Linked DNA regions of Caenorhabditis elegans. The protein of the gene in region 1 interacts with the protein of each later gene in a pairwise test. Each region holds a gene or a part of one and is shown in the gene's direction. Other genes may lie near its edges.

What was found.
Region 2: the proteins of mpz-5 (region 1) and tab-1 interact in a two-hybrid assay, tested with the Caenorhabditis elegans proteins (one large-scale study listed by BioGRID).
Region 3: the proteins of mpz-5 (region 1) and col-122 interact in a two-hybrid assay, tested with the Caenorhabditis elegans proteins (one large-scale study listed by BioGRID).
Region 4: the proteins of mpz-5 (region 1) and col-73 interact in a two-hybrid assay, tested with the Caenorhabditis elegans proteins (one large-scale study listed by BioGRID).

Annotation. Positions count from the first base shown.
Region 1 is NC_003282.8:10,371,506-10,376,195, reverse strand, and holds mpz-5 (PDZ domain-containing protein), read left to right. Parts: upstream 1-2,373; 5' UTR 2,374-2,410; coding exon 2,411-2,434; intron 2,435-2,478; coding exon 2,479-2,589; intron 2,590-2,668; coding exon 2,669-2,797; intron 2,798-2,841; coding exon 2,842-2,967; intron 2,968-3,013; coding exon 3,014-3,100; intron 3,101-3,140; coding exon 3,141-3,530; 3' UTR 3,531-3,558; downstream 3,559-4,690. Other genes in the region: Ankyrin repeat and KH domain-containing protein mask-1, read right to left, coding at 208-326, 703-872, 919-1,086, 1,137-1,250; iars-1 (Isoleucine--tRNA ligase, cytoplasmic), read right to left, coding at 3,717-3,839, 3,896-4,021, 4,075-4,593, 4,644-4,690.
Region 2 is NC_003280.10:6,801,360-6,806,098, forward strand, and holds tab-1 (Homeobox domain-containing protein), read left to right. Parts: upstream 1-2,341; 5' UTR 2,342-2,398; coding exon 2,399-2,518; intron 2,519-2,835; coding exon 2,836-3,068; intron 3,069-3,113; coding exon 3,114-3,188; intron 3,189-3,236; coding exon 3,237-3,402; 3' UTR 3,403-3,504; downstream 3,505-4,739. Other genes in the region: F31E8.5 (DUF4091 domain-containing protein), read right to left, coding at 3,706-3,795, 3,842-3,973, 4,023-4,105, 4,151-4,325, 4,422-4,592, 4,640-4,739.
Region 3 is NC_003282.8:9,560,639-9,565,313, forward strand, and holds col-122 (Nematode cuticle collagen N-terminal domain-containing protein), read left to right. Parts: upstream 1-2,740; 5' UTR 2,741-2,749; coding exon 2,750-2,770; intron 2,771-2,876; coding exon 2,877-3,758; 3' UTR 3,759-3,803; downstream 3,804-4,675. Other genes in the region: lron-14 (eLRR (extracellular Leucine-Rich Repeat) ONly), read right to left, coding at 233-332, 387-548, 616-908, 1,470-1,565, 1,723-1,896, 2,210-2,284, 2,330-2,440, 3,899-4,006 and 3 more.
Region 4 is NC_003280.10:4,870,862-4,875,352, reverse strand, and holds col-73 (Nematode cuticle collagen N-terminal domain-containing protein), read left to right. Parts: upstream 1-2,223; 5' UTR 2,224-2,226; coding exon 2,227-3,037; intron 3,038-3,089; coding exon 3,090-3,136; 3' UTR 3,137-3,255; downstream 3,256-4,491. Other genes in the region: F11G11.13 (arginine kinase), read left to right, coding at 1-73; F11G11.15 (Ovule protein), read right to left, coding at 251-508.

The DNA of each region.
Region 1 (4,690 bases):
TTATTCTGTACTAACACTCAATGTCTATTATAAAATGTTGTTAATGTTGTTTTACTTTTATTTTGTGGATAAGTTCAAAGCGTTACGAGATCCTAAGGCATTTTGAAATCAAAAAATGTTTGAGCATAAAAGCTTGATTTTGTAATATTTGTACGATTTTTGTAATATAGTATGAAATAACGGGCTGTTTTTTTAATCAAAACTTACCACCATTCTCGTCGCTGAGTTGGGTTTCATCGTTGTCTTCAAGCGAATCTTCGTCAAAAACATAAATATCACGAATCGCTGCTTTCATTAATTCTTCGGCGAATGTAGTGGCAAGAAAGCTGAAAAATAATTCTATAATGTTTTTTTTATTTTTTCAGGTTCCTTTTTTCCGTCAATCAATTTATAATTTTCAAAATGTCTAGAAAATTGAGCATGAAATGCGATTTTGTATTCAAAAATAATAACAAAAATTTCATTTTCATAACTTTCGACTGCAACTTTCGACTTTTTCGGAAACTTTGCAAAAAATAACCTATTCCGCAATGTCATTCCAACGTGTTTCATAGAAAATGGAAAAAAATGGCGCTCCTGATTTTCAATTTTTCGGTATATAATTTTTGATATGTACTTTGTATAAGTGCTAATTTATTTAAGGTGAATACTCGAAAAATTCCAATTACTTATTCAATCAAAAATTTCAATTTGAAAACTCACGAGTAAGCCATCGAGGAAACCGAGGTAAGTGCATCGACAGCATTTTTGATTGGAACCTTTTTGGGATCCAAAGGGTTGTACGGTCCAAATCTTTCAGGTTTTTCACTTTTATGATCTTCAAGAAGGTCGGATATTTTAAAAAGGATTTGACAATCATCCATTTGTCGACTCTGAAATTAATAAAAATCGAGACTTTAAACTAATTGAAATATTTACCTCAATTATATCGAGAAGGTTGGAGACCGGGGGAAATCGACACTTGTCCGATGAGAGGAAATGCTCAAAATTGAGAATTTTGAGAACAGTTGAGATGGCTTTTGTCGGAAAATGCTCACAGTCATCGTCTTCGATTTCGATGGCAATTGTGTGAAGGCAATCGTAAAGCTAAAATATAAATTTATTGAAATTTTTTTAGTCGAACAAAAATAGCTCACCCTAGCACCAAAGTGGTAAAAAGATGAAAAAACTCGTTGTCGTTTTTCTTCGTCTGCTCCATCCATATCCATTTCTAATGGAATGAGGTGATTGAACATATTAAGGTGAGCCATTCCACCTTTGGCTAAACTAACACGGTGGTCTCGTCGCTTCTGAAATTTTTAAAATAATTGATATTGGAAAATTCTGAATTTTTAAGCAAAAAGGAAAATACAAAGAAAAATGATTGTTTTAACTGAAACAATAATCTTAATGGTAACTTTTCAAAACAAAAATTTTCTTCCGGAAACCTATGTGGCAGGTGAAGAGGATAACCCATAATTTCAAAATGTTGGAAAACAATTTATTGTGTTTCTTCCATGAAAGTAAGACACAGGCGATGTTCGGAGAAGTTGTAGGCGCGTGACAGACATAATACACGTCTTCTTCCATCTGCCCTTTTCGTTTCACTATCGGAACAACGGCATGGCAACGGGCATGAGGAGGAAAGGAATTAGGGAGGATGTGAGAAGATGAATCGATGGATGATAGTGATAAAGAAGGAACATATTGATTATTGTTCGCAATAACATTCTAGAAAATTTAGAAAATCCTAAAATTAGCATTCAAAAAAATAAATGACTTCGTAGATCCGAAACGCATGTTACTTTTTGAATTAAACATAATGATTTCTTAACAATCGATATAAACAATTTTCTCAAATATATTAAAACTAACTTTATCAAAACTAGAAAAAAATTATGGAGGATAATCCGAATACTCGCGCATAACGCATCCTCCTTTTCCCTAACGAAATCCAGTTACGAGCAATAGAAATGTAAACGAAGTAATATGAAAAATGATTTTGCAAACTTCAAAAATTAAATGAAACTGAAAAATTCAATATTCCTCCCAAAACCATGCAAGAATTGAGTCTTGGAAAGCTGGTTGGCAAATTCGAAAGAAAATAATGGGTTCGTAAAAGCGTCAGCACGAGAATTGCGCCAGCAACTTGTGCTGACGCATTTGCTGTGCGTGCTCCCAAAAAATAAAAAAAAGGTTTTTATGTTTTGTGAATAAAAAAAAGTTCTGTACAGAATTCTGTTTAAATGTTTGTAAAAAACAGAAATCGACAATTCGTGATAAAGAAGAATAGTTTTAAAAATTGTGTTATTTTAATATTAAATTTAATGTCACGTTTCCAATTATTTGGATTTAAGAAAACGTTTTATAAAACCTGAAAATCAAAAAAAAATCATTTCCCAATTGAGTTTTCATACAAACCGATCGAATTATGAAGAAAAATGAAAGCGGCAGCGTAAGACAACTGAAACGATTCAAAATAAACATAAATGAATTAAGTTGGCTCTTGATAAAGATTTCAACATTGACAAGCTTTTGCCAAAGGAATTGATCGACCATTTCATGATTCGAAAGCCAATAGGAGTTCGTGTACACAAGCAGGATTGTCGGGTAATTGTCAAATAGTATTTATTCAAATTCTTGAGCTCTTGATCTTGATTTTGGGACACCATACATAATTCATATTCAGATCACACATGTCCTTCCTGAATCACATCTTATTGGAAAAGCATTTCTAGGTGATTGTATCACTGCAATCGATGAAAAAGTTATCCACACTAGTGACGAGTTGCACCAAAAGTTGAAAGAGAAAACTGAGGTGTTAATATTTCTGAATCGAGTGTTTGCAAACGAAAATTTCAGAATATTCATCTACAACTGAAACGTAACATGTTTTCCTGGTGTTTTCATATTCGAACAACTGTTGAGAAAATCCAAATTGACAGAGATTTAGAGAGAATCACTCCAAATCCTGTTAACCATTACTTTGTGAGACAGCTTTTTAAAAATTAAAAAAAAAACTTTCTTATTTTAGGTTCTCATAAAAGTTCGTCCAACTCCTGAAATGCAATTCATTGACTTGGGATTATTTGTCAAATATAACAATAGAGATCGTTTGGAGGTAATTTAAACTTACAGTAACCACCGCATTTCATTTTCAGGTTGATTATGTTACTCCAAACAGCTTAGCATCCATCCATCTGAAATCTGGAGATGTCATTCGGGAGTGTAATTCTCAGGCAATTTGCTCGAAGAGCATGCTCCGTTATTGTATTGCGAGCAGCATCGCTTCTTCTGGACACTTTACGCTTCTTATTGAAGCACCAATTCGAGATATTCTCAGAGATCACATTGATTTGGCAGATGATGTTGTGGCAATTGCTGATAAGGCGGTAGAGGAGTTCAGAAAATTGGGGAAAGGATATCTACCACAACAACCGAAGAAAGGAGATAAGAAGAAAAACATCAAATTGAAAGAGGGACGTACAGAACATCAGATCGTTAGTGACATTGATCCTGCTAAACTGAGAGCGTGTAAAAATGCTAGCTGAATTTCTCTGATAATAAAGTTTCTACATTAAAATCCTTAAACATTCATAATTAAATATTATACGTTAACAGCAAACAAAATAGTGTAAGAAACAAATATGAGAAAAACTGCGGTTCAAATGGGTTCAAATAAAGCCAGGAACTAAAATGCGAACCGGATATGGATAATTTAAAGATGTAATAGCAATTTATCGTACGAGTTGAAGAGTCTGACCAACAAGAGACGTCACGTCAACTGTTGGATGGACCGCCGATCCATCGACATTCTTCAAGGCAATCTTACCGTTCCAGAGATCAAGAGCAGAGCGAACCTGAAACAAAAACAGATTTAACATTTTAAATTTCTAGGAAAACCCGATAAACATACGTGATATAGAAGATCAGCATATCCCTTCAGGTGTTCTTTTTCTGTTTTCACATGAACTCGAACTTTCTTTGATCCATCAACAACAGTGATCCCATCGAAACTGTCACCTTCGGCGAACAACCAAAGCTGAAAATAATTGTTCAGGAATATTAGAGAACATCAACAAAAACGGAATTTACCTCAACTTCTGAATCCTTAATTGCACTCTTGCTGGTGGCAGTTGGAGCCTTTGCAGCGGCTGGTGGTGATCCCAACTTGATAGGTGTTCCAGTAGCGGATACAATGTCATTCAATTTGGCAGCAACAACCTTTGCGAGTTGAGAATCAGCTGGACTAACAACAATATGAACATGAGCAGTATCAGTAGATACAAGTTTAGCCTGTTTGCGAAGACGTTGAACACGATTTGTCACTTCTCTGCAGAGTCCTTCTTCAATAAGAGACTCATCTTCAGTTGTATCAATCATTACAATGGTCTTTGCATCCGAGTGAGTTTTGTATCCATGTCCTTGATCACTTCCAGCCGCGTAGCTAACAGCAACTTCTTCCGAGGAGAGCTCATGCCCAAGCACAGTCAATTTTCCTTCAAGAAGGAATTTCTCCAACTCAGATTCAGTGATTTGGTTCTTCAAGTAGTCAGCAACCTTCTTTTGTTCTCCCTTGAGACGAGCACCCAGAATTTTGAAGTTTGGCTCTGCCTGTAATTTTAAGTATTATATTTTGAACAAACTTTTTGAAATTTTAATACCTTTAGGGTGATTCCGTATTTCTGTTTATCTTGTGAAACGGTCAATT
Region 2 (4,739 bases), on another chromosome or scaffold:
ATCAAAAAGAAGAGCTGTCTGTCAAAAGATTACGGAAAGCAAGAGAGATGTCGCACCAGACGCACTTACTTTATCTCAACACTAATCCTTCGGATACAGTTTTTGAAAATGCGTTTATCGGTTTGCCGACTCTTCTCACCTGCACACGGGTTCAAGTGGGAATCATTTGGAATTAGTGCTAAAGGTGGTGATCAGAATACGAAAGGGTCATTATGGTTCCCGCATTTTAGAATGTACATATAATTTGAAATGTATACGATTATCGTGTTAGCAAATAACTAGGAAATTTTTTCTGACTACATTTAAAAATTTTATCTTAAATAATCCATCCATTAGTGATATTTTGGGACAAGTGACGCGGTCATGCATCGAGTTCAGGCAAGTTTAGTAATAGTGGGAGTGTGCATAGTTTTTAAATATGAACCCTTCTTTTTAAATAATGAACCCAACAAGCAGGTATAACTAGGGGCTGATAATGGCTGGCTTCCTGCTGGTCCGTTCTTTATCAAATTTGTACATGGAAAATACTTGAAGATGTTTATTTTTTTGAAAAGACTGTCAAGAGTGTGAGAATTTGCTTTTTGAAAATTTGAATCTGAATTTTTCAAATGTTTAATAACTATTTTCTTCTACTTTCTGAAAAATCTCCTTTGCTTAAAATCCTTCATTAATTGCAGAATTCTCTTCTCACTAATTTGCAAAACATCTTCTCATCAAATCTTGTTTTCCACTAAAATCACACAGATTTTCGTAAGAATAATGAGCGCGTTTTCAATGATGAGCTATATACCGACAAAACAGCATGCCAATTGTGATGAAATAGAAGCTTCAATACAACGACTACTTCTTCTACGGTAGTGAAATCCGCTAACTAATTGGGAATAATTGCTGTATTGCATATGCATAAGTTTTTGTATTAACACCACGAGTATGAGGGAGGAGTGATGATGAAGTAATTCTTCTGGAACTATGTTACATTGGAGCTCACCACAGGACACCTTTTTGCGGTGACTCAAGAAACAATAGAGCAAGTCATGAGGTGTCAAATGTTCAAAGTACCCATAGAGCCAGTTATAATTAAGTGTGACATGTAAACGGAAGGAACTTTTCTTAATATTCTTTGTCTTGTATTTGATGACGTGGCAACAATATTTTGCACAGCAGGTCTTACTCCTCTTGTTGCTAATAAGTTTGTGTGAGTATGTCTACTCAACATAATAAGTTAAAAGCCTTCTAGCGCTTCTGCCGTCTATAATGCAATAATAGTCTTCGTTACTCGATGCTCAATTTCTTCGTTTAGTCAGGTCAGCCAGTCGTCTTTCCCTATTTTCTCTCCAAGCTTTAAAACGTTTGAAGGGGTACAGTGATATGCACAAAAAATGCACAAGTTGTTGGGGAAGTGGTGAACATCTGTGGAAAGGTTCAAATTGCTCAGTTGCACAATGACTATTACTAGACGCGTGTCGCTCTCAACACGTTCACACTTGTTATTGTTATTGTACTGGCTCAATCGCATTGTATTGTAACATAAACACGTAATTAGAGGGAGATGATGAGCATGAGAGGTCGAATTGTGCCAAAAGTGGAAAACGGCTGTAAGTAGGCTTTTCATGTAGGCACAAACACTGCCTGTGGCCTTTGTCTACCACAAAAGTACTGAAAGGTGCGTAGTAGGCATGCCTGAATAAGTACAAAATTTTAAGAATAAGTACAAGACTTACATCGTTAGTGAATTTGAAGAGTTTGCAAAATCAAAATTATTTTGTCAATCAAGTTAATACTTCTAGAGTATTTGGCCAAGAATCTTTTGTAGACCATTTGAAAATTTTCAGAAATTGAGTTGATTGCTAAGCTTTTCCAATTTCTTGATGAGATATTTGAGGTTTGAAAACATTATGTAAATTACGTTTTGTTTTTATTGGAATTTTAATTTCACCTATATGCTAGATATACTATTCCAGATCATCAAAACTGGCAAGAAAAGAAGACTCCAGACCATATACAAAAAATGAACACGTCATCATAATACACGACTGATCGAAAATGACACAACTGATTAGTTTCAATATTTTATTCTAGTACTGAACATTACGAGACAATCAATTTCCATATTTTGCTCATCGTCACTTAAGTGGTTGTTTATTCTTTCATCAACCGCCTACAATATTGCCTACGGCAATACTGTCATTCACAATCATTATCCCTCTCATCAACTCTTTTTTCTTCTTCTCCTTGTCGTCTTTCACGGGACCTTCATCTCTATTCGCCGACTCCGCCCCCTTCCGATGCCGTCTGAAGCTCCACCCATTGTGCTCCTATGGGAGCACCATATTACCGTGTTAGCTCATTTACACGAGAATCTTACCTCCCGTAAAATAATCTTCAAACTTATTTGAAAATGATAACTCCTGTATCAAGTTTTTCAATTGATGATCTTCTTCGTGGGCATTCAAACGAAATTCAAAGAATTCTGAAGCTTGATCAAACATCGCCCACTCCCCAATCAAGTTCAGATGAGGTATGTTCTTAAACTATTTTTCTCGTTTGGGTTTTGTAGTCACCATAGGCACTCTGCAAATATTTAAACAAACATATCAGGAATGTATTTCGCTCAATTATCAAAATTGAATTTAAATATAATTTTTCCGTTTTTTTTGGCCTTTGGTCAATGATTTCTTTAAAATTGATTCAAAATAAGTCGCAACTTCATTAAAAAATATTTTGTTTCCTTGATGTGATGCTTGTTCTTTCACAATTACTTAAATTCAACAAGTAATATTTCAATAAAATATGTAAATTTGATCATCAAAAATTACTCTATCGGTTTACTTCCAGGGATCAGAAAAATCATCGATATCCGTAATGTCAGTTCCATTGACAAATGAATTAACTCCCACAATCACTCCTGCTCTTTCTGATCAGCTTTGGCTTGCAGCAGCAGCGTTTCCAATAGAACATAGTCTCTTGTTGGCTCAACGAAATGGAGTTTTTCCTGGATTCTGGTCAACAGCTGATCAGATTCGATTGTCAAATGCAACTAAAGCGTATAGAAGATTGAGGTTGGAATGGTAATGATTGAAATTTATCAAATATAATTATTCTTCTGTTTTCAGTTCGCGAAGAAAAGCAAGAACAGTGTTCAGTGATCAGCAACTACAAGGATTGGAACGAAGATTTGAATCCCAAAGGTGACCAAAAATGCATTCCGAGTTTAGTATTCTAAATCAGACTTTCAGATATCTGAGTACTCCTGAGAGAATTGAATTGGCAAATGCTCTCAATTTGAGTGAAACTCAAGTTAAAACATGGTTTCAAAACCGACGAATGAAGCACAAGAAAGTTGTCAGAAAAGATGATAATAGTGTGGATGACGACAATGGAAATGATAATGAGAGCGAATAAGTATATATATATTTACCGGTAGATTGTCTTTTCTCTATGAATATTTATTTAAAGAATATTGATGTATTATATTATTGCATGTCCAAATAAAGTCAAATTTCTAACAGATATTTTATTACCAACTTATATTTATGATTATGAGGAATAAGTCATGGGGTATTACTTTAATTATATTTATCTCACATCTTATAATTCAATTTTGAACTTTTTGATTTGCCAATTGCCCATCAGTCCTCAAAAAAACGAAACTTTGAAAAATGGTTGTTAAATTATTTTATTCCAAATCATAATACAATAGGACACTTATTCATCGAAGAAGTTGAATGTACATTTTCCGATTTCCCACATATTAGTTGGAACTGCAGCATTGTAGTCATTCCACAACAAAGTACGCTGAAGATTTTTAAGTTAAGCTTGAATAAAACAAAACGTTTGTTACCGTATCCATTTCAATATCACAACCAGGTGCCTTGATAACATGAATATTGAATGATGTGCTCTCTGTAACTGGAAGCTTGAATTGATCCTGATAGATTGGATTTCCTTGCATTTCTCCGAACACCATGTCAACCTAAAAACTATGAAATTGAAGATTTATATTTGATTTTAAAAAAACTAACGTAGTTTTCGTTACTTGGTTCTCGTGAGACAGTGAATTTGAACTTTGTGAGCTCACTCACACCCGGCAATGGATAAGCAACATCTGAAAATTTCCATCAATTGAGAAGTTAATAATAATTCAAAATACCAGACTGAGGAGAGACGTAAAATCCTTCGTTGAGAAAGAAATCGACAGTCTCGGAAAGTTTCATTCCTGTTTTGTATTGGTCAATTGGTAACTGGGTGATCCAAAGTCTGAACCAGTGGCACTTATTCGTCGATAGAGTGAACATTTTGTAAGCATTGGAAACGTGCTGATCGTTCTGGAAAGGTTTTTTTTTAACTCCAAGTAATTAATGTCAGGCATGATACACGCAGACAGAAGAAAAAAAATCTATGATCTGGAAAATATAACTAACTGGAATATGAACAGGATACGTGTTGACCGAAACTCTCTTGAACAAAGCTTTCTGTATCAAGGGATTATCTTTCTTTCTTCCTCTGCCAGCGGATTTCAATCCTCCAACGGATTCACATGTCTTCTCACGGTTCGCCAAAACTCCATTCTTCATGTCTAACGTTTTAAGATACTGAAATAATCAAGATTCGGAAGGATGTGATTATCCAAACAACTAACTGCAAGCAAGTCGATAGACTTTTTAGCGTCTTTCTCTTTGACTGGAGGCAAGTAGTCGGTGGCAACTTGTGTTCTCCGATCGTTCAGCCATTTTGGAAAA
Region 3 (4,675 bases), 810 kb from region 1:
GGCTATTTGGTCAAAACAAGCCGGGCAATTTTTTATGACACTTTTCGACGCAATTGAGAACTGCCTAACCATGTTTCACAATACAACTATTTCATTTAACTCATTCTTTTTTCAAGAACTACTTTTTGTATGTTTACTTTGAAGAATAAAATGTATTTATCTGCTCGAAAAAACAAATACCAAAAAATAAAATCTATACCCGTTTCAATTCTAAAACTTCTATTATTCTTCTTCAATCTAAATGCTGCAATGGTTCTTCTTCTCTTTGAATTTCCGGTCGAAGTCTTTCTTTTTTCCGACGCTTCATTAAAAGCTCTTCAGGATGCCAAAATCTGAAATCTTTTATTGATTCTATCATTCAAATAGATTTTATTTTGAAAACTTACTTCAAATATACGGTGACTCCTATTGAAATTATCAAGATAATCACACATAAGAAGAGCAAGAAAATGAGAACATTGACAAATTTATGAGGTTCATTGTCATAATTCTTGTATTTCTTGCGATATCGAGGAGTTGTTGTGGGAACGGTTGTCGTTGAGATTACTCTGAAAATTTTTTCAGTTTTTAGAAACTTTTTTTGGCTTCGCTGAATTTTCAAACCAATCAACTCACTTATTACTAATTTTTTCGGTAGATTTGACACCTTCTAGTTCATCCATCGTATCCAAAATACTCTTTTTCAATGTAGTTGTCATCATTGTTTTCTCAGATTTAGTTGTTGATTCAGTTGAAGTATAAACTCTTTCCATTATTCCTTTTTGTGCATTTTCCACAAATGTCATCCATTGTTTAGTTTCTTCAGTTGGATCCAGGCATACACTTTCATTTGTTCCTGGAAGAGCTTCCAACATCCAAACTGTTCCATGACCATTTAAATCACAATATAAATCATCAATATCATCTATCTGAAAAATTTATTTTAAAACCACTCGAAATCAGATTTTGAACAATAAATATTGATTAACATAAAATAATTGAAAAAATTTGATTTGTGGCATTTTTGAAACAGTAAAAACTTTTCTCAGTTTTTTTTCAGAAAGTAAATTAAAATGGTACATAAATCTTCAAATGAAAAGTTTGCTTTTAGTAATCCCATTCTCAGTAAGAAAACAATTAAGATAAAAACTAATGTATAATAATTTTAGTTTATTACTGGCAAAAACCAATTGCCTTCAATAATTCGAAATAATGACGATCAGCTCAAAACTTGAGCATGGCACGTTCACTTTTAACTTTTTCGAAAAAGTAATAAAAATGTCCCTCACCATGAATGTATTATTGACAAAGCTTCAATATTTTTAAATTTAACATTAGGAGAAACAAAATTCAACATTACACATTTGAGTGCATAACAATTTGGCGATCAGGAATAAATTTCAAAATTTACTACTATATTTGTAAAACTTATGAAACAGAAATTAATTTTTAAACTTTTTTGCTCTGAAACTATGTGACTATGTTCTTACTTTTGCTCGATTAATTCTTCTCATCAACCATCTCTGAAAATCCGATGGTGACTCACAATCACAGGCAAATCTGCTGAAATTCCCACCCAATCGAATCTGAATTTCTCTTTTATTATTATCAACCAAACTGAAATGGAAAGTTTCGTTTTGTAACCCAATGATTCCACCAAAAAATGACTGTTTTGTCTTATCATGATGGAACATAGATAAACTGGTTTCTGGTCAAATGTCCTTTCCTTTTGAAGTGACTAACCTTTTTTAAACCATCCAAATGATTTAAGGATGTTGATGAAAGTTGATCCAATGGGTTATCAGATAAGTAGAGATGAGTTAAAGATGGTAATTTTGTAATGGTTTCTGGAATTGAGGTGATGGCAGAAGATGTTATTTCGAGATGGGTCAAATTGGCAAGATCAGTGAGCTTTTCCTGAAATAATTTTTTTGTGGACATTATTTGCGAAATATGGAAATTGATTAGAATTTAACTAAATTAGATGATGCTCTAAATTAGGTGAAATTTTCGGACAACACAATGACAGCAGGATTAAAATTTCAAATATCATACTGCATAAGTAGGCATGTCGAAACAGTAAAAAATTGTTTACATAAATACATCCAATTGCATAAAATAATTGAAAAATACATAGTTCTATATTTGAAAAACCTTAGGAACACAAAACCAGTTAGTTAAGTTTCCCTCAATTTTCAAAATTAACCTCCGGATTCAAAAAATAACTCACCATTTCCACTGAAGTCATTTTGCTATTTGTGATCTTCAAAGCTCGCAAGTTGCTCAGTTCTTTCAATTTCTCGGTCTAAAAGTCTTGATGTCTAATGAATTCTTCCAAAGAAAAAAAAACCTCAAAAATCTTCCAATCAGTCTGATTCATATGTAATTGTGTCAATGGGGATGGAAATTTTCCGAGCTTATCCCATCGAAGTTTGTCGCAAACCATAATGTTTTGAGATGTCTGAAATAATGTTCCGGGTTAACCAAAAAAGTTTCAAATTAGTTCCGTTTCTCTTCTATTGTGCCTTATCATCCAAGAAAAAACCAATTGGAAAGTGTAAAGTTAGCGAAACCGCGCGGGCGTACCTGACAACAAAGATAGATCCATAGTGATAGGATGAGTGATAATGGGAAATGTGGAGACATAGATTTGGTAACACAAAATGAAAAAAAAAATGAAAAAAGGAAACAGTGATCAAGAGAAAATTGTCAGTATAAAAGGAATGGGTTTAACATGGAAAGGCATCATCCAATCTTGATCATCTCAAAAATGGAGGACAACAAAATCAAGGTATTCACAAATTGTTTGGTTTAGTTTAAAGTTCTAAGAGGCTTTAGAATTTAATTTTAAAAACCATTCATGACTCTTATTTTTCGAAAATTATACAATTTTTCAGGCCTACCGTCTCATCGGGTATGCCGCAGTCTCCCTCTCAGCTGTCGGAATTCTTTCCGTTTGCATTACTCTTCCACTCGTTTATTCTTATGTGAGCAACCTCCGCTCTCAAATGCACTCTGAGCTCCGTCACTGCCGTGACACCGTTAACACGGTATATGCTACCGCTGTCGCTATGCCAGCTCTTCCCGGGAGAGGGAACCGTACCGCGCGTCAAGCTGGATACGATGTTGCCGTTCAAGACGCCCCAGCCCAGGAGCACAATAGCTGCGACGGATGCTGCTTGCCAGGAGCCGCTGGATCAGTCGGAGCTGCCGGACGCCCAGGAACTCCAGGACGCCCAGGTGCACCAGGAGCCCCAGGACACCCAGGAAAGCCACCACAGTCACCATGTGAACCATTAACCCCACCACCATGCCCAGCTTGCCCACCAGGGCCACCAGGAGCTCCAGGAGCACCAGGAAAGCCAGGATCCGAGGGACCACCAGGACCACCAGGGCACGATGGACCAAATGGAGGACCAGGACAACCAGGACAACCAGGACCACACGGACCAAACGGACACCCAGGAAAGCCAGGATCCCAAGGACCACCAGGACCACCAGGACACTCCGACGAGCCAAAGCCAGGACAACCAGGACAGCCAGGACGTGCTGGACCACGTGGACCACGTGGAGTTGCTGGAATCAAGGGCAAGGATGGAGCTCCAGGATCCCCAGGACAACCAGGACCACGTGGAGGACCAGGAGAGCCAGGACAAGATGGAGCTCCAGGACAACCAGGACTTCCAGGATCCGATGGAACTCCAGGAGAGAAGGGAATCTGTCCAAAATACTGTGCTATCGATGGAGGAGTCTTCTTCGAGGACGGATCCAGACGCTAGATTTTATTTCGTCTCTCCCATTTTTCATAAAGAGTTTAGCATTCCAATATTGTTTTTTTAGTTCGAAAATACACAAAATGAGTTTTTCAAAAAGCTAGAATTGATGAAATATCTAATTTCCCAGTTTCCAAAAATCATACCCTCACAATAGAGACATCCGCAGATCTCAAGCATTTGCACGTCGGCGGGCATTCGAAACGACATTCACATTCTTTTTTCTGACAACATTCACAATCTGCTTCACACATCTGAAAAAAATTACTGTTTCAAAGTTACTATGTATTTGAAATTTTTTTTAGCCTACCTTGAAACCTTTTTTAATTATCAGTTCAATTTTCTCGATTAATTTTTTGAAGAAAATGTTTGATAGCATAATTAAAGTCTGTTGGGTATATAATTACTGTTGTTTGATATCAGGCTTTTTCTCAGCACGGTTTTATTAAACTATACATCTTAGTCTCTTTTAAATCGAATTATATTGGTAGTACGCCACCAATTGTTTTTTCAATTAAAATGAAACATTTATAAAATAACTTACATTAGAATATTTGCAGAGCAGTTGATTCCTTGAATGAGCTAACGTGAGCAGCATTTTCTTTTCTGGTTTCAATATATTGAGACATTCAATTGTCTGAAGGTCTCCAATTGATATGTTCTAAAAAATATCAAACGTAATACCAAAAAATTAGAAATTGTGTAAAAACTTCAAAAACAAACTTTAGCAGAAGAATCCATTAACCATTTATGATTACAGTGACATAGTAGTGGATTCTCGGATAAAAACAATTTGACTTGAAATTTGGAACCAGCAAAACTTGATGACTTCACTTCCTTTAGGCTGTTGTTTCTGCAAGAATAATGTTCGGAAAATACTTTTTCAATACAAAACCAACTTTAAATCCAGCAAAATCAAATTT
Region 4 (4,491 bases), on another chromosome or scaffold:
AGCCGTTCGTCAGATGTACGATGGATTGAAAAAGTTGATTGAGTTGTGGAGAAAGCCGCCGAATAAGAACTAGTATCATTTTCAATGAAATAAATTTTTTAGTAGATGATTTTTTTTTCATCCCCGGTTGTTTGCAGTTTCAAAGAATTGGGTTTTTAGATCAGAAAAATTAGAAAGTATATCGACACATTCTAACAATTTTAACTTGATTTAACTTCCTTCTAATTTTCTTCGAACGTTTTTTCTTCTTTCAACAGGTTTCATGAAAATATTGCAAATACATTTTATTGATCACAATCCAAATAAATAGAAAAAGGAATAACAAATATTTTGTTAGTGGACATTTTTGTATAGAAAAAGTGAGATATAAGCTGACAAAATTGAACAATGGGGTACAATACAAAACGATGAAATACGATAGGTGGTTGTGAAGCCGACATTGAACATACACCCCGGATAATTTTGCACTTTCAGGATTACTGTAACTGGCAACTACATGATGGATCATTGATCAGATTGCTTGACCCGAAACCTATCAAAATGCATTTAATCTATTGAACCTGATGATTACTGTAATAATGTTGGACCTCACATTATTTCAGCTTCTCCATCAATCTTACCAGCAAATGACAGTGACAATCACAAACAAACCACCTGATTCGAACAATCACATGCATCTTTGGAACGTCTTCATAAACGTTGTTCACATGCCACACCCAATTGCCAGCCGAAAGTCTGCCCTTGGAGATGGGCAAAAAGTGAATAACACAGTGAACCGAATATATATCCAATTCACATTATCAATACGCGTATCACTACTTTCATTCGTTCATCATCTATACCTGACTGTTATCATTTGATAATGAGAATGTGAAGTATGTGTACATAAAGAGAAGAAAGGTTCTAAAAAAAGGGGATATCAAAAGAATGAAGCTAAAGGGACAGAAGAAGTTTATGACAAGGTATGAACAGAAGAAAAATGATGTTCTGACGCAGCCGCCATCAGTTGGTCAGAGTACTGGAACGCGGAAGGAGAATAATGTTGAATAAGTATACCAAAAGCTCAAAAGCTGAAATTTTTCTTAAGAAAAGTACAATTTTTAATATATTATCAGTAAACGAAAAATCTTAGAATTTACCGAAATTTTTGGAAAAAAATTCCAAGTGATGAGGTCCTACATTCTGGAACTTAGATCTGAAATTCTTTCAGAGTTATTTCTTCAAAAATCAGATTTCGAAGCTCATGGAATTGCCCTGACACATTTTTAATAGACTTCTGAATATTTCGAGAGTGCTTAGAAATAGACAAATAATCTGAAAGTTTATTTAAATTAAAAACAAATATTTCTGTCAATTTAAAAATATTCGATTAAAGTTCCAGATTTGTTTTAAAAAAACACGAATTCCCTAAAAAATCTAGAACATTGATTACCAAAAAAAAAAAACAAAAACAAAAACAACAAGAATTTACATTACAGACAGCAGAGCTGAATGCCAATTTTGTGACACCCTAGTATTAACGTCAGGCCTTTGTGAGTATACTTGTAAGCAAACTATACATCAAACTCCTTTTTAGGAAATACTGCCCCTCTACGTTTATCTACAAAACAAACTGAGCACCTCAATTCACTGTTCCGAGTTGATTTTAAAAATGAGGAACTAAATCATTGCAACTTTGAAATAACTTTGAAATAATGTTCATAGTATCATAATCATAAAAGTAATGATCAGATCACCAGCATATCACCTACAACTACCTCTCTCTCTTTCCCTCTTCTTACAAGCGGATCAAGCTTCTTCTCTCATGGCATGGGAAAGGGCGTCGGGTAGGTGGTGCTTCACTCCGAGACATGTATCTGATAAGTCGAAGAGAGGCGATGTATCTCTGACGCTCTCCTCAAAATGAACAATATTTTGGGCAAAAGCTTAGGCGATATTCAACAGAACAACAAAAAAAGGAGCAAAAAGGGTAGGCGACCGCTGCAGACCCGAATCGCTTATAAGACCGGTGATGGCGAGAGGAGAAACACATCTTTGCTTCATTCTAGCTTCATCTTCTCATTTTATTCTCATTATTACTTCTAAATATTATTCTTTAATTATTTTTAATTAAATTTTTAAAAATAATCTAAACATTATTTTTTGTAGTTATAACTCTAAACAACTCTCATAATTTCTGACTTTCTGATTTCTAAACTTCAATCCATCATTTTCCATTGTTACAGTATGAGCCAAGACGATAAGCAAAAGCTTGTGGAGGTCGAGACCGTGAAGAAATTCGCGTTCTTCGGAATTGCAGTCTCCACTGTTGCCACTTTGACAGCTATCGTTGCAGTCCCAATGCTTTGCATGTACATGCAAAACGTTCAATCCGGACTTCAAGATGAGATCAATTTCTGCCGTACTCGTTCCGACTCTCTTCGTGGAGAATACACCAAGCTCGATCAATTCCGTAAAGCTGAGAGCCGTGAGAAGCGTCAAACCTACCAATGCTGCTCTTGCGGAATTGGACCAGCTGGATCCGTTGGAAACCCAGGACAAGACGGAGCCCCAGGAAATGACGGAAGACCAGGAGCCCCAGGAGCCCCAGGACCAGATGCTCCAAATGAGCACGTTCAACCAACTCCAGCCGATTTCTGCTTCGAGTGCCCACCAGGACCAGCCGGAAACGCCGGAAACCCAGGACCAAAGGGACCACCAGGACAGCCAGGAGCACCAGGAGAGCAAGGACCAAATGGACGCCCAGGAGCCCCAGGAGCCCCAGGACCACAAGGACCACCAGGAACCGCAGGAAATGACGGAACTCCAGGACAACCAGGAGCCCCCGGACAAGTCCGCACCGTCCCAGCCCCACCAGGTAACCCAGGACAGCCAGGAGAGCCAGGAGCCCAAGGACCACCAGGAGAGGATGGACGCCCAGGAAACTCAGGACCACAAGGACCACCAGGACCACAAGGAGAGCCAGGACAAGATGGAGCTCCAGGAAACCCAGGAGCACCAGGAGAGGCTGGAGAGCCAGGAAAGGACGGAGCCAAGGGTAAGTATTTATTCAATTTTTGTACATTTCTCTTATCATTCCCTAATTCCAGGAGGATGCGATCACTGCCCAATCCCAAGAACTGCTCCAGGATATTAATTCCTCAATTGCTATTTTCTTGCTTAAATTATTTCTCTTTCTCTCTACTTGTATTTATAATACCTGTCGAAACATTTCACGGGGCTCTTCAACAAGAAACCAATAAAACTATTGAAATTAATTGAACTTGTAAAGAGAATTGGATGAATAGGAAAAGAAAGGTGAAGAGATAGAAAGTGAAAATGAGTGAATGTAATGATGGACGGTCATTTAAAAGGAAGGTGACTCGTAAAACAAAACTATTATGATTCGTTTAAAGAACGGTGACAATGTGGAAAAATATTGGTAATAGAAATTATGAAAACACAAAAGTTAAAGAAGCTCTTCGATACGCTTAGTTTTGAGCTTAAGGTTTTGAAACTTTTTTTCGCGTTAACAAAACTTAATTCACACTAATGAATCAAAAAACTAATATTTGAAATTTAATTTTTTATAATTTTTAAAAAAATTCTTTACGGCGAATAAACTCTAGGAAGACCAAAACTTTAGAGTAGTTACCAGATGCGAAATTTTATAGAAACAATGGCAACGTTGAGCTGCGGAATGTAGGCCTCCAGCTAGTTGTGGAAAATACATCACGAGGCATAAATGTGATCAAAACCTGCCTGTAAATTTCAGTTTTAAAGTAATTTTTAATAAAAATTGAATTGTATACTTTTTTTGTGGACACTTTTTCAGACGAGGCTTTTTATCAACTTTTTTTGTGACCTCAACTAGTGGAAATTGGGAATGGGCACAAAAACATTTTCTGCAATTTGGTATTTGCCACTTTTGGAGCTGTCAAAAAAGAAATAGGCTTCTCACTCTTTCAGCAAACCGGAAAAGATCGAGCTCAAAAACTTGGCAGTTGTGAGGTAAAATTTCGGAAAAGTTAAATTGCAATGAATTTTAAAAAATGAATACCTGAAATGTTTTTCTGTCACATAACAAAAGCTCGTCCCTTTACCAAATTATAGATTTTGCAATGTTCTACTCGGAATTTTGGATTGCCGAATGGTATTATCTGGTTTTTATTGACACTCGCGAAAATAGGTTCTAAAAATCCTGAAACATTTTCAACAAAGGAAAAGTTTTATGTTGCTACCCCTATCAAATTTTAAGAAATAACTTCCGTCATTTTTCTATTTTCCATCACAACGGCACGATTGCCGATTGCAAGGAATGATAACAGTTCAGATCGGTTCGTTTTTCTGTTTTCTTTTTTCTTCCCAGGCAACGGTCTTCTACGTCTCCCTTCAAGCCAACCCCGAAAACCAATCAGCCCCCAAATTGTCGAGCGTCTCCAATTTTCAGATGATCCCTCTTCAAGCATCTTCTTTTTTTTCCTGGAAAGCCTACTCCCACTCTCCTATCTC